Neodiprion lecontei: one gene and its partner. The protein of the gene in region 2 binds, or shares a complex with, the protein of the main gene of each other region. Links are inferred from orthologs where the notes say so. Each region holds a gene or a part of one and is shown on either strand. Other genes may lie near its edges.

Region 1 (8,665 bases), about 150 kb from region 2:
ACCAGTGTCAAAACCCAGAAGGCTCAGCAAGCCGTGCAGCATGTAAAACATACGCAGAATAAGGGTCAAGCAGTGATGCTTAGACACGTATTTGCTACCACACGGCAAGCCATACCTGCAGAGGTAAATGTGAAATGTGATTTGGTTATTCTGTAGGAACTTTATGATCTTTTTGTTTAAAATAACTTACATAAATTATGTTTCAGGTGACTGAAAGTGGGGCAGTGGCTCAGCTGGGTCCCAATGGAACAAATGGCCTGGGGCAATACATCTTGGTACAAAGAACTGGAGTTGGTGACAGTGCACCTCGGGCTTCATCGGCACCGCCGCTACCCCCCCAAATAGCTGGAATGGGAGTGGGACTTCATCTGGTCAGAGGAAGGCCAGCGAGCGCCGGGGAGGGTTCTCATCAAGCTGTAACTCTGAAGGCAAGGGGTGCCTCAGATGGGAGAGGTGGTGGTGGTGCTGAGCCTGGTGCTCCCGGTGTTATTATGGGTGGTGATCCTCCACCACCATGTGAATGCAATATGAGAGGTGCCATGGTCATATGTCGTCAATGCGGAGCCTTTTGCCATGATGACTGTATTGGACCTCAACGGATTTGCGCCACCTGCCTCATACGTTGATCGGTGGTTAATGATAAATCAAGTAGCCAGATAGATGAAACCCATAGATCAAGCTAGAGAGGGCTAGCGTTGGATAACAAAGCATGAGAAGGCTGAGCGGCTGTTAGGCTTGACATAGTTTTCATATCTTTGATTGCCGGAAATAGGTTTCAACTATCGTTTCTTTGCTGCTAGCTCATTTGTTGGTGAATTTGGTGGTACTGTTTTGAAAAAACTTCCCTTAATATGAGATTTTTGGAAATTTTTTCACCACGGCCAGTACCTGTTTATTATCCACCCGGTTACCGTTCATTCAATATTCTTACAAGTAGATGAACATGGGCGTAGTGGGGACGTTGTTATGTTTATTGAATTGACATGTACTTGACATTCAAAAAATTCTACCTTCCTTTGTGAAACCCTCCCATAACCATCACTCTAAGGCTGGTGAGTGATGAAACAAAGTATAAATAAGAAAAATAACGCGTGAAGCGTAAACAATCAAAGCAACTTGCCATCATCCGTGTTATCTCGTGTATTTTATTTCGATACTTTTAATGCTACGTACAATCAGAGGCATATCCAGGCCTGGTGATTTATTGAGTCCCCATTACTTTCAGTGTTAAATAAGGGCTAAAATTGCATTGCAGTCCGACACCGTTATTGTCTTCCACTAACATCACACGCAATCGTTCGTGATATCGCTATTTATTTATTCCCACAGTTTTCAATTCATCACCCACGTTATTGCAAAGGATATTCTTATTGAAAAAAATGCGATGAGATGCGGCAACAGATTAGCGTAAAACATACAGTGAAAAGAGAGTTTAATGAGCTTGACTCATGTATTTCGATACAGTTTAACGCCTTGGAATCATTCTGCCGCGTCTCCTCACACGCGATGTATTTAGGAAACTCGTTCGTCTAAGGCATGTCTTATCGAGTCATTAACGAGTGACCTATTTAGCATTAGCGACATATTAATTATCATTAGAGGTAAGATTTTCATGTAGATTAGCTGTGATCCAATGCTTATTGTTAGATAAATCTGCGACGGATGTTCGTTATATCGAGTCAACGAACTGGACTGATCCTGAAAAGCGACGGAACTGACGGCGCGCAAAAAAGGCGTGACTGACTTTACGTCGAATTCTCACATTGTACATAAAACATGTTTTTTAATTTTTTTTTTAATCATATTTTCATTATCTCATTACGCCATTAGGTTTGCAGAGCACGAGACTTTACATTTTAGCGTATCAGGGAAAATACAAGACGCGACTCATCCATATTAGATTGTAATACATAATTGTTTATTTTTTATCATCTTACAATGATAATATTATTGTTGTGATTGCATAGCACCTACTGTGTACTCCGCTCAAATGTAAATAAAATCATATTCGTTTAAAACTTTAAAAAATGGTCTGATATGATTAACGAAAATTTTCGACTTTTTTTTCACTCGGTAGATTTGCAGTAGCAAATTGCAGACCGTCTGAAGACAATTATAATTAAATTGTATAGAAGCCTTGTCATTCTTTCATCATCGAACCAAATCCATCCTCTCACAAATAATGATTCAAAATGTTAAAAAATATAAGTTGCAGCAACAGTGAAGAACAAAGCAGAAAGGCATTACAACAAATGTTGACTACAACTCATAGTACAGATGACTGTCAACTGATGAAGCGACGCTTCTTTTCAATTTTTGTGGCTTATTCGAGAAAAATACAGAACTACCAAAGCTGTAAATGTAAGTATGTTATACATACCATTCTTTAATCCTGATTAATGATGAAGTAACGAACTGTAGGGAACAGAAAATGACGTAAAAATTATAAGAATAATATATGGCAAGATTATGTATGTAGACATATTATGACTCACTTCGATTTTATTGGCATTGAGATGCAAGATAAGCTGGTCAGTAGGAGTTACACTGATAGAATCGCAACAAAACTACCTACAAAAACAGCGCATCACGTTTACTGACAATTCATTCTTATTAACGATGTAAATTAAATGCAAATGTGATTAATACTACGTGATTGCAATAATCTGTAAATTTTTCGATTTTAGCCGATGTACAGTGGATTTTTCTACATCTCTAATTACGTGTGAACACGATTGGGTAATGTGTGAGAATCCTCTGATGAATGTAAAGGGTGAAAATCGCGAGGCAGGTAGACATCAGAACTTGTCGATCAATTGCAAAATATGTTGCTGTTCCGCCTCTCTCCACTCATTGTCACCAGCATCACCAAGATTACCCGCATATTCTGTAGAAATTAAGAAAAGAAACGATTTCTATGTTGTCTCCTTCATATTGTAGAAAGAGAGAAAAGGGTATTGGGAGTGCGAATTCACAATATGAGCTGTCTATTCTACCTCTCATAATGTGCCTTATGGTTTTGAGAGATGCTCGTCTTTGTGCGAGAATTCTCGTTACACGTTGTTTCACTGTTGGTGGACAGCCAGTACAGGCTTCCAATAAAACGTAATCTACTAACTGGAGAATGAATAATCCTCCGTCCAGTCTCCTCATGTAAGATTCTTCCTCTTCTTCGTCATCCTGTAAATTAGAAATTTTAAATAATATCAGGAATAGAAAATATCCACTGATTAAATCCCACACATACACAAATTTGTAGTGATTAAAAATTAGTATAATCAAGGTAAGTAATGTCAGTTTTGATATTAATTTATAGATTATTACAAAAGTGAACAATAGCTAGTTATAGTTACGACTTGCCTTTGTATCTCTTTCGACCTCCTCTACTTTTTCTAGGTATTTAAAATGAAGCTCCATCAGTCTGTCGACTTTTTCAAAATCGTTTTCTGTGAATTTGCTTATCAGACGCTGTCTCTGTGCTCCTTTACAATTCCTCAGCATACTTGCGATAATGGAAACGACGTGCTCTGAATAAATACATGGTGGTGGGAACAAGACAGAATGGTGAGTTCAGCAGGAGGGGAACAGTAGTAAATAAAAATGATGTAACTACCTTCATGCTCTTCCGTTGTGAGTATTTTCTTTCGATTCTTAGTTGGTGTTTTCATGAACAATGGAAAAATTGTTCTTAATCCCAGTATATCTACGAATTTCATGCAATTGTCCTTTCCATCTGGCCCATTCATAGCGTGGTCCAGTACCTGTAATATAAACCCCTGTCTAGAAACCGGAAATCTGCGTCAATGGCTGTGACAACTTTCCATAAATTTCTCAATATACGTGGTACCTTTAGAGATCCATTACGAGACATTTTCTTCTCACGTAACATTAGATTCATGAGCTGGAGTCCTTCGCCACGGAGGAAGCGTTCTCGATTTATCGTTGCCATTAGACTGGAGCACAAAACATTGAAAAGATTCTCCATCATTTCTTGTTCTTCCGCTGTTCGAGGATCGTGACGCTTGTAGAACTAAAGGATTACAGTGAACGGGTTTGCATCTGTTATTCTTTCATCGAGATTAATTCCAATATAGTTAGAAAACAGCAAAACCCTTACAGCGAGTTGTTGTAAAAGAGCATCTATTCCATCCAAATCCCCAAGCAGCAACCTATTCTCAGGTGTTTGTTGAACAAGTATGGACAGCAGTTCACTGGCATATAGCTTATTTCCATCAAATGGAGCCTTCACCTTGATTCTTCGTAGTAGCCACTGGAGGAGTCCTTGTTTACCTGCATCTACGCAGAGGTCTGGTCTGAACTCGAGCAGATTTTCGAATATGGCTTGAAAAAAATTAAGGAATAACCCTTTAGGTAAAGGTGACAACTAAGATCAAAAATAAATATCCCTAATAATTTCATGTCCTAATTGAACTTAGATCAACTTTATACGTCCATATTGTAATAATCATCTTGCTGTCTTATTGAATATTACCCAAAGTATTGTGAACTCCGTCGCTTTCTTCCTTTACACTCTCATCAAGCCTTTCTAAATTTTGCACTAAAAGGGCACATACTTGCTGTTCCAGCAACGAATCTATAAGGATATCTGCACCCTCCTGGCTTTCATGCAAAATATCAACATCTGTAAGCTCTTGCAGCAGATCAGCCACCCCAACAGCAATGTCTGTATTTTCATGAGACAGAAGCTCTAGCATGGAAGCCACAGCACCAAGTTCTACCATTATCGGGTAGAGATCTGGGGCTGTTGCTACTACATTTAGTTCTTGCAATGTTTCATGTAGCTCCAACTCAGATTCCATGAACCTAGAAAAGACAGAATGGTAAAATGACATTTGGTAGTTTGTTTTCACAAATAATTGGGTAAATGCTAACTCACTTTTCTGGTTGATCTGGAAATTTCACCCGCATCTCTTGATTCCGAAGAGCTCGTTTTTCAAACAACAGAATCATTCGCTTTAGCGTGGCTTCATCTAAAGCTTCAACCTCTGCTGCTTCCGTCTCTACATACTTGATAATCTCTTGTTTTTCTTTTTCTGTCAACTGAGGTTCGACAACATCATTGGCTGGAGCTGGAAGTGCAGCTCTGATTGGTGTAGGAGGTTCTTTGCTAACAGCTGGAGTGAGATCACCCTCATTAATCTGTCGCTGACGAGGATGATATGGCGTTTTAATCACACGCTTTGATCGTTTAGCATTTTCCCAGTTATCCTCATCTTCTTCATCTCCATGTACTGGTCGTTTCGGTGTATTGGGTGGCTAAAAGTTAATTCCTTACATAAAACCCAACCTACTCCAACAGAAATCATCATAACTTGCAGGTTTATCAGCTAATGACAGTAATGCAGTGAGCGCACCCTTATCTAACGACGATAACCACCAGTGTCTCAGAGATTGGCAGGTTATGTTACTGACACACACTTGTAGTGTGAATATCGTTAATAAGTAGCTTAAGTATAGTAACGAAAGTAATACAATAAGCGTAAGAAACTTTACTGTTCAGATTGAAAACTAAACATCACCTAACTTTGGTAACCTTTAAAAATACTTGAATAATTACCTTGTATGATAATAGTTCACCGATATCCATATCGAAAACTGTTTGTCTCGATATTTTTAAATCACAGCTACTTAATTTTATGTTAATAAGTAAACGTGATAATTAACCAATAACAGAATAAAGCCATACATGGTAATTGTGTATAACCCTAGTACATAAATCCTGATGTGTTGATTAAAGACTATGTTCTTCAGTGACTGACAATGAGTCTATATTGGTACTCTCCGTATTACCATGTGTATACATACTTATGCATAGGCATACATTATTATCAGCTAGGTTGAATTGGGTTGAATCAGGTTAGGTTACAACGGGACAAATGGAACTTGGAACGGAACAGGACGGCAAGTGGTGAATGGTATCGAGCGTGAAAAGTGAATATCGATAAGGCGGCAAACAACGGTGAAATACATTCAACAGTGAGATATTTTACGAGTTTTTATTGCAGCTTTCATTCATGATTTGGTCAGCAACGACCTTCGGACTACGATACATCTAGATGACACGTCTAGATCAACCAAATGCTCCAACACAGGCAGATTCGCAAGAACTGAATGCCGAATTGCATTTTCCTAGGGCTGGTGATGCATTGATCTGGGCAATTTTTGCGACGCCGAATATGGCACCAGCTGCACTAAAGCATGCGACGGCGAGCGTCGCGCAGCCGGCGTAGCAAAGTCCAACACCCACCAGTCCAGCTTCAACATTAATTACCTCAGCCGAAATAAGGATCATTGTTACGGCTACGATGGCAAATATTGATATCTTCATTTGCTTCTGTGAAATTAATTATTACGGTTGATAAAATACTCAGCAGTGCTTAGGATGGTATAGCTCACTGCATCATTGAGTACCTACGCGTACAGTACAGCACGTTGATGTTGGACCGTGTTTATGGGGGCTCTAAGCTGTCCAGTCTCGTGATCTAGCTCAATATTGAAGAGTTCTACCAGATTTCAAATGTTAATACATCAATGCTTTTTAATTAAATAACACTTTTCTTCTGTACCAGACAGCACAACGTAACAATTATCTTCACGTATCTGTAAGTATCAAAATCAGAACTGAGAATGCTCATGATCTCTTTCACTTTATATTAACACTTGACTAGCTCTCTTATAGTCGTGGGAGTTCCCACCGAACACCAGTGGATTCCCTCAATATACCTTCCAAAGTCACCCGCTCTGTATGGTCTCACTCTATGACATAGAAATCCGTAACTAGAGGGAAGCCAGAGCGAGCCTACACGCTCGTGTTTTCGTGTTCGTGGTTTAGTACCGCTCTTTGACACGAAATAGAGGTTTAGAACTGATTCGTGACGTATTTGGCCGGTAAGCGCATGTTGTATAAAATGGCTTATGTATAAAGATATATGGCTATGCTATCTCAAATCTATATAAACTTTAGAGCGTATACTACTGGAGGCAGTTACTCATTCTGTCAACCTCGCGAAAACTGCGAAAACTAAAGCCGTAGTGATGAGAGAGAGAGAGAGAGAGAGAGAAAAATACATATATATTCGGTATGGTTGTTTCATCTTCCATACGTTTCGCCTAACCAAATGTACAACGACAAAAACATTATATTATACGGATATATATATATATATATAAACATAAATATAAATATATCTCACTCCTGACCACACTACCGTTGCATACATGCCAGTATGTGAGCGAAGCTGCCACTAGCAGCTAGTATAAACGCACACGTATCTAGTCTTGTCCGCTGCGATCGCTGCGATCGCATTTCCAGTTATAATTCAAGCCCGGTAGAGTACAACAGTATTTGTGTAGCTACGAATTGTGTATCGTACGTACATGAATGCACGTAATCGTGGCATCCTTGTTTATCAAATTGGATAGGAAGAAGAAAGATCTACAAAAATTTAGGAACCCTCTGCAAGCACAAATTCATATCTGAAAATGTCGGATTAACTCGGATTCTGCAAGGGGCAGAAATATAAGTTACAAAATGGCCACGACCGTTCCTTGTATCGCTGGTAAGTCAGTTAATTTTTACGATAATTCTCGCCGGCGTTTTCCGTGGTTTCGTTAGTGTTTTCAGCTCACGCTTCCCCAGATAATCCTGCGTAACACGTACGAAGGCTATATCTGCAGAACATGTTCACGAGCGTACTGCTCGAGAGATTTCACCGTGCAATGCAGAAGGTGGAAAGATTGAAGTCACTGAGTCATGAATTAATATATACATAATATTTATATGGTTAAACGTATTTATCTACAGTGCGAGGTTCGACAGGAACGAGTCTGGGCCAGGGTCCACCAACCTATGAGCCAGTCAGTGGTTTCCCCCGCGATGCCAGTAGATCTTGTAAACTCATGGCTTTTAGCCCTGAGGGAAGATACTACGTCTGGACAAATGGAGTATCGTTGAAGATAGCTGCTACCGAAAATTGGCAAATAGTTGCTGAAATTAAACGGCCTAAGATCTCTGCCATAGATTTTTCACCCAAGGGAACCTACCTAGCAACTTGGGAACCATTTATAAGTACGTTGTATATTTCATAATTCTCATTTCCATGCGTATAGGATATTGATTATTCAGAAATTGACATAAATTCGGCAATTCTAATGATTAATGATTAAAATACTTTGAAAATATGATTCGATCAAATTAATGTGCAAACTTGATATTCCACTGATATGTTATAGCAAATGCTTAAGGCCCTTTTGCTCTACCACAAAATCTATGTTTCAGTATCGCAGGCTAATCCCCAGGGCTGTCCAAACCTCTGTATATGGAAATCTGAAAATGGAGAGCTGGTCAAGGATTTTATTCATAAGAAACAAATGGACTGGTAAGGGTGGGAAGATACATACAATTTCAAATTGGTTTGCCACACATTTCAAGATTTGATGATAATTCATTGCTGTAAATAATGCCAGGGAGCTTCAGTGGTCCAGTGATGAAAGGATATGTGGTATGCTGGTTAATAGCACTGTCAACTTCTATGAAGATGCCGATTTTTCTAAGGTTGTGAATAGGATAAACATGGCTAAGGTTGCAAAATTTAGTGTAGCGACAGGCAATCCCCCCTATCATATCCTTTGCAACATGCCAGGT
Region 2 (6,106 bases):
CCAGAAGTACAGTAGCGTATGCCGTAATAGCGGAAATGTAGTGAAATATAATATTCTTTTCATGAAGAACGCATACAAATGCAATTTTTCAAATATTTGATGCTGAATTGGGACAATATATAGATAATTGATGTTTATTCAGTCTCTTATGAATCATCGTGTAAAAATTGATATGTATTTTTTACCAGAACGGTAGATCTAAAGAAGGCTGCTACCACCGATCGTTGAATGAAGAACATTTTTACTGACGGGGACAACTAATTAGACTGATGTAGCCAAAGTGTGTGTATGTGAAAAAAGCGGACTCGATAAAATACATAAGTAACGTTTCATTATTAATTATGAAATGATTTATTGAGTCATCATTTAAATCGTTGGAAAACTTGCTATGGGGTCTAAAACCGTGATTGCTTTGGATTACTGAACCGTTCTAATGATCGCCGGAAGCGGCAAATTGAATGTAAATCGCGAAAATATTGATTTGAACGATATTACGAGAAACGCGGGCTGTACTAGCTGTCGTCGGTGTTCAAACACCGTGATAACATTGTAAAAAACAATAATTGTACGGCCCTGTCGAGTCGACACCGACGTGGATGCTAGGTAATACGGGATGAGAAGATTCTCCTGCCGAAGAGGAGGCTCGCGGAGGAGAGAGAGAAAGAGCGAGAGGAGAGGGGCAGGAGGATGAGAACGGAGAAAAGAGAGGCGCGGAGAGGCAGGTAGGGAGGCACGAGGTAAAGCAGGGAGCACCGTCTGTTCACGTGTAAGAAATAACTAATAAGATAAACAAGTATGTACGTATATACATACGTACCTACGCACTTATACACGTAAGTATGCACGAGAGCTGGAGAAAAGCCCGCGGGCAAATTCCCGACTACGAGTATTACATACGTATGGAATTCCATGTCGCGTATATGCATGCGTGTATTCGGCATATTTGAACGAACGTTTCGTACATATGCGAGAAATCGACGTAACTGCTCTGCAAGGTGCTGCACGTTCGCCTTGCCTTGGGGTGATCGTTATTAAATCTTGATTAACGATACTCGGAGTCACCGATTTTCCTCAGCGGCAGCGCGCCTGCTTGCGCGCAAAAACGGTGCCGCAAAGTCTGCGCCAACCAACAATTCCCAACTCGCATGTCTCTTGTAATAAATTTCTCGCTCTTCGAACGGCCGCACCAGACTGCTTGCCTCTGCCGCAGCCCGACAACGGCGACGATGCACGTATAGTACGTACGTACACGTAACACCATACCAATGGTCATAACTCGGACCGGTTATACTTGACCCATGCGTTTGCTGGACCAACTCCTACCGAAATCAAGTCTTGACTCTCGTTCACGGCGATCTAGGCCCTCCTTTACCGCATTCTTATCTCCGTGATTAATATTGGTTTTCTTATTGTAGCTGATGGGAAGCAAAGAATTCTTGTCCCATACCTCTTACTCGTATGTCTTCGTTGTCTTCCATTAGAGATATCCTATCATCGTTCGAACAAATTCCAGGAAATATAACATTCGGCGTAGATAAAAATCAGTGAAACATTTCAACATTTTCCATAATTTCCGCGCTTTTCTTTTATTCATCTAGTTACATTGCATAAACTTCTTTACATACTATAAAAGAAAATGGTAAATAAATGGGCTGGTCACAATGCCAGATGACAAAAATTTCGGAATAGTTTCACAAAAAATCCAAGATATTTTTTTACTAAAAACAAGAAGAAACTTAAATTATTCGATTAGAACACTGTTTATCGTTTTCACTTTTTGTAAGTAGAAAATGTGTTTGGGTCAAGAAATATTTTCATACAAACACAACTTGGTTTACCTATATGTATAGTTTAATGAAAATAGTTTTTTTTTGCAATCGCAAACATTGTACAAGTTATACAATGAATCAACTTTAACACACTCCAGCTTCTTAATTTATAGTTGGAGAAGAACAAAGAATATGGCGATAGTTAACGAAAGTTTATACCACTTACGCTAGTTTTATTCAAAATGAAATTGATTCGAATTATCGGATTGTAATTTGTCAAGTGCATATGATAACTGTAGTCTAGTTTGTTTATTACACAATACGAGATTGTCATCAATTCAAATTCTTCAGCTAGACACAACGTTCATTTCACATACTTTTCCATAAACTTTCGATGGAATTCACTTCTTAACGAGTCATTTATGAACACATCCCGCTTTTTCTCAGGTTCTGAGCGTGCACAATTCTTGAAAACCACATCATCGTCCCACCTCCTTCTCACTTTCATGTCTGTACGGCCAGGCTGAGCTGAATAATTGAGAAGTGGGTTACCGGAAAGGATGTTTTCCATGCGTATCCGCTCCTCCTCTTGTCTCTTTTCTATTTCCTGGTAAAAAAAAAAATGACAATTTATAAATCAACAAATCAGTGATCGCAGGGAGAGAGAATTTATCTCTATCCAGGTGCGTTACTTTTTTGGCTTGATCGGCGGCACGTTCTTTCTTTATGCGCTGAAGTTCAGCAAGTAATGCGACTGTGTCATCCTCATCGCTGTCAGAATCGGAATCGTCTTCGTCCAATGGATCGTCGGCATCCAAACTAGCTGCTGGTACTTGATCGATTTTCTGTCTTTTTGCTGCGACAGCTGAACCATCACGATTTGCAGGTTCAATCATGCGACGGTTCGACGCCTTCTCTTTTTCCCGCTCACGTTCATCCAACTCTTTGCGGAAATCACGGCTTCTCAACTCATCTGTTGTTCCCTGTCCGTACTCTCTGGGAAGACAATTTTTAGGTTATGTGAACTTTCTGGTTATGACGCGATATATTGAAAAAGCACACGAGGACAGAGATAAGACACGCGAAAATGGTATCTCTGCACTTGTACTGTTACCTGTATTTCAATTTCGTGTGAGACGGCAGATCTCTGCTCGAGTATTGTTTAGAAATTGCGCTCAAATCCTTCTCTCCGCGTCCCTGACCTCCGCGCGCTGGCTCGAACGTCGGCCTCGCAGCTGTAGTCATTTTGAAACCAGAGTATAACGAGCCTGCGAATCCCTCGGGACGATGATAAAAACTACCTTAAAACACTACTCAGATTCTAGTTTACACTTGGCTATTTTTTCGCATACGCTATTGACGTATGTACTTGCTGTGACGGGAGCAGTAAATTTTGGTTTGGATTTTGTGCCATGAACTATGGAAAACGACTAATGTAACACAGAGGCGGCAGTCAACAACCACCGTCTCCGCTACCTGCACTCGTGTGAAGTTGGCGCTGGTCAATTTGTCAGATATTACCATGGAGCATATACTACTGGAGATAGCTTCGCGTGTACAGAAAGTGTGGCGAAGGAGTGAGATAGAGCAGTTATGCCGTGTACAGCCTGTCTCTCTCGCTCTGCAACCTGGTAGGCCGATACGTGTCCTCTTGACCGAAATTCGAATTTTAAATTTATTTCTAGGTGACTGGTTGGACGGATCCCGAAAAATTTTTTATATCCGAACTCAGTAAATGGCGCATGTTCAGAAAATATGAACATTTATTTTGAGTCACGGACGCAAAATCGCTTGCTTTTATAAAAATTTCGTCCTCGCTATCGGACAGTTCGTCGTATTTCCTTCAGAAATCATGCAAAAAATTTCTCAGAACATCACGGGGCTGGATTTTGGAGGGGGGTGGCCACCTTATCGTGGTCACCGAAAATACTTAGTAGTAGTCTTTTTCTTACTCCCTTTACAGTAAGTTTAATTGTGAATTTATCATACCTATGTTGACCGTGTCTTCAACTACTTGGTTTTACAAGTATCTCTGGTGTGTATGTGCATGTATATACGCAAACATATCTATAAGATATGTGATCAATGAACCAATGAATCGATAAAGAATATATCCCATGGTGAAATCATTGATAATGCATTTATTTAATTTTTATCGATAGACGGAAAAGGAAAGTGTTTTTGTTCATCCGGTGGACACAGATCGTATCTCGATTGTTTCTTCGTAAAATAAATGAATAAACAATCTTGTTCAGTAACGTTCACTGACAACTTACAGTGGTAACGTTCCGATACACGGATATACACCTCACCTATGCATTCACACGTTTATCTCGTCCGTACGGGAATGTGAATATAAACCATATGACACCGTTGTGACTGCTTGTAAACAAATGTCGTGACAAGGCAAGCAAAGGTGAAAAAATCAAACAATTTGGATGTCACGTATCAAGTTGAGCGTACGCTATTGGCTAAAAGTTCTCGATTCAAACATTAAAATCCCGTGCCCGTTCAACACGAAACCGCAGCCAGTTGAGTACGAGTGATCAAGAGAAGCGGTGTTGGGTGTACTACGTGCCTTATAACTGTGATTTTAGGTGATTTCTAAGTGTTATAACTTTACCGGACTGTGGCTCGAATTACCCGGAACAATAGAGATGTCTAAACATGACAAAAACAACTTTACTCCCAATGTGATCTACGATGAAAATATGTACGGGAAGGAGCTACATAAAGGGTCGTTTCTTTGGGAAGGTGAGTCTCGATGAATATTAATCAACGTTTCTCTCTGCTCTCATATCTCTTGCATCCTTTGCAAGACGAAAAATAATTTAATCATCGATCGCCGACTTCGAAGGCGAAGTAAAAAATGGGTAGATCCTAAAGCCATTTTAAGTTATTGGGGATCAGTGGATTGAAGACGAATTGATCAACCCAGGTTTCGAACAACCACTCTTGGCTGTTATTTGACATAATATTGACAGAAATTCTCATTAATTCTTTCGAACATTATTGCGGGATAACCGATTTATCGTCATTTTTTTTCTAAACTGATCATTCTTTCGTATTACACGTCAATCTCAATCTTGTGTTCATGCTTTCTTTATTCCATACAGCTAATTACACTATGTTTTGTACGTACCGTCAATAGTCCTGATTCGGCGTTCAGCAATGTCAAATTTTCGAACGCAGTTGAGAGGTCATATATCACCATAAAGTTTGTTGTTGATTTTCTGATGTGCCCAGAATATGCGCTCTAAGAAATTGATGTTATTGCCGGCGGATTAAGCCCCGCAAAAGGTGACTTATCATACAGCTCTCAGTCCAGCGCCGCGCTTTTACACGGATGTGTGTGCGTGTGTGTGTGTGTGTGTGTGTGAAGACGGCATTCACATAAATTTTGTTTTTTTTTCGGAAAATCAAAAAATGTGGTATCTATAATAAACTTGAGAATGGTTCTCTTTGCGCATGTGTCATGGCTTCGCTGTCACGAGCGTAACAGAAATTGGTGTGAAAATGAAAATGCTAAATGTTTGTATACGCGTAATTATTTTTTTTTCGATTTTGAAACAAATCAAGTCTTCAAATGTTAAGACTCATTTCGATGAACCAATATTGCGACAAATATTCTTCTACTAATCTAATATTACCGAAAAATATTACTCGCTAATAAAATAACGGCCTTATAGGGGGGATAAACAGGGTAGAAATGCATTTTACGAATATCTGAGTGATATTTTATGGATAACTAGGTACGTATACGAAAATGCATGTATTACCTAATATTTCACAAAAATATTAGATTTTTCGTTTAAATAACTAATTAATTGAGTAAAATAAAACATTGCTTGTAATATACTGCTTTATAAAAACGAGCCTTCTGAAATTGATTTTATAAAATCGTTGTTCAATTTACATCACTTTGAAAAACTTTCACGAAATCAATAAGAACCTTGAATATTCGAAATTTGTTACCGGATTACGGAATTGCAATAATTTTTACTGTAAATTAGCGATGCTTAGTAATCTCACAAAGGCTAATTAAACAGTATCAAAGATTGAGGCGCACTCGAGGCGAGTTAGTACACAACGCATGTAATTAAACCGTGGTTTTCAGGAAAAACAAGCATCGGAGAAACTTTGGATCTTGATGTCCAGCGGTATCAGAATTCAAAATTCCCGTGTATGCACGGTTATTTTTTTCAAAACTCCCGTATAGTATAATGATTTCTACGGCGTTAGTGTGTTATGATGATATGATCAACATTCGACGGTGTGTAGAACTGATGAATCCAGGTAGAGTCAAAAATATAGAAAAATCAGAAAATAAAATATTC

What was found.
Region 1: protein CWC15 homolog (region 2) and beta-catenin-like protein 1 share a complex: the UniProt entries of both Homo sapiens proteins name them as parts of the PRP19-CDC5L splicing complex. The link is inferred for Neodiprion lecontei from reciprocal best matches to the Homo sapiens genes CWC15 and CTNNBL1.

What each region holds. Positions count from the first base shown.
Region 1 is NC_060261.1:30,285,714-30,294,378, forward strand, and holds beta-catenin-like protein 1, read right to left. Parts: upstream 5,845-8,665; 5' UTR 5,609-5,844; coding exon 5,579-5,608; intron 5,278-5,578; coding exon 4,898-5,277; intron 4,825-4,897; coding exon 4,493-4,824; intron 4,342-4,492; coding exon 4,118-4,341; intron 4,031-4,117; coding exon 3,848-4,030; intron 3,762-3,847; coding exon 3,614-3,761; intron 3,528-3,613; coding exon 3,361-3,527; intron 3,181-3,360; coding exon 2,997-3,180; exon of another isoform or gene 2,888-2,996; coding exon 2,799-2,887; 3' UTR 2,485-2,798; downstream 1-2,484. Other genes in the region: polycomb protein Asx, read left to right, coding at 1-123, 207-626; eukaryotic translation initiation factor 2A, read left to right, coding at 7,553-7,580, 7,826-8,089, 8,300-8,399, 8,488-8,663. UniProt on the Homo sapiens protein: Component of the PRP19-CDC5L complex that forms an integral part of the spliceosome and is required for activating pre-mRNA splicing.
Region 2 is NC_060261.1:30,137,946-30,144,051, reverse strand, and holds protein CWC15 homolog, read right to left. Parts: upstream 3,238-6,106; 5' UTR 3,015-3,237; coding exon 2,884-3,014; intron 2,766-2,883; coding exon 2,462-2,765; intron 2,377-2,461; coding exon 2,134-2,376; 3' UTR 2,064-2,133; downstream 1-2,063. UniProt on the Homo sapiens protein: Involved in pre-mRNA splicing as component of the spliceosome. Component of the PRP19-CDC5L complex that forms an integral part of the spliceosome and is required for activating pre-mRNA splicing.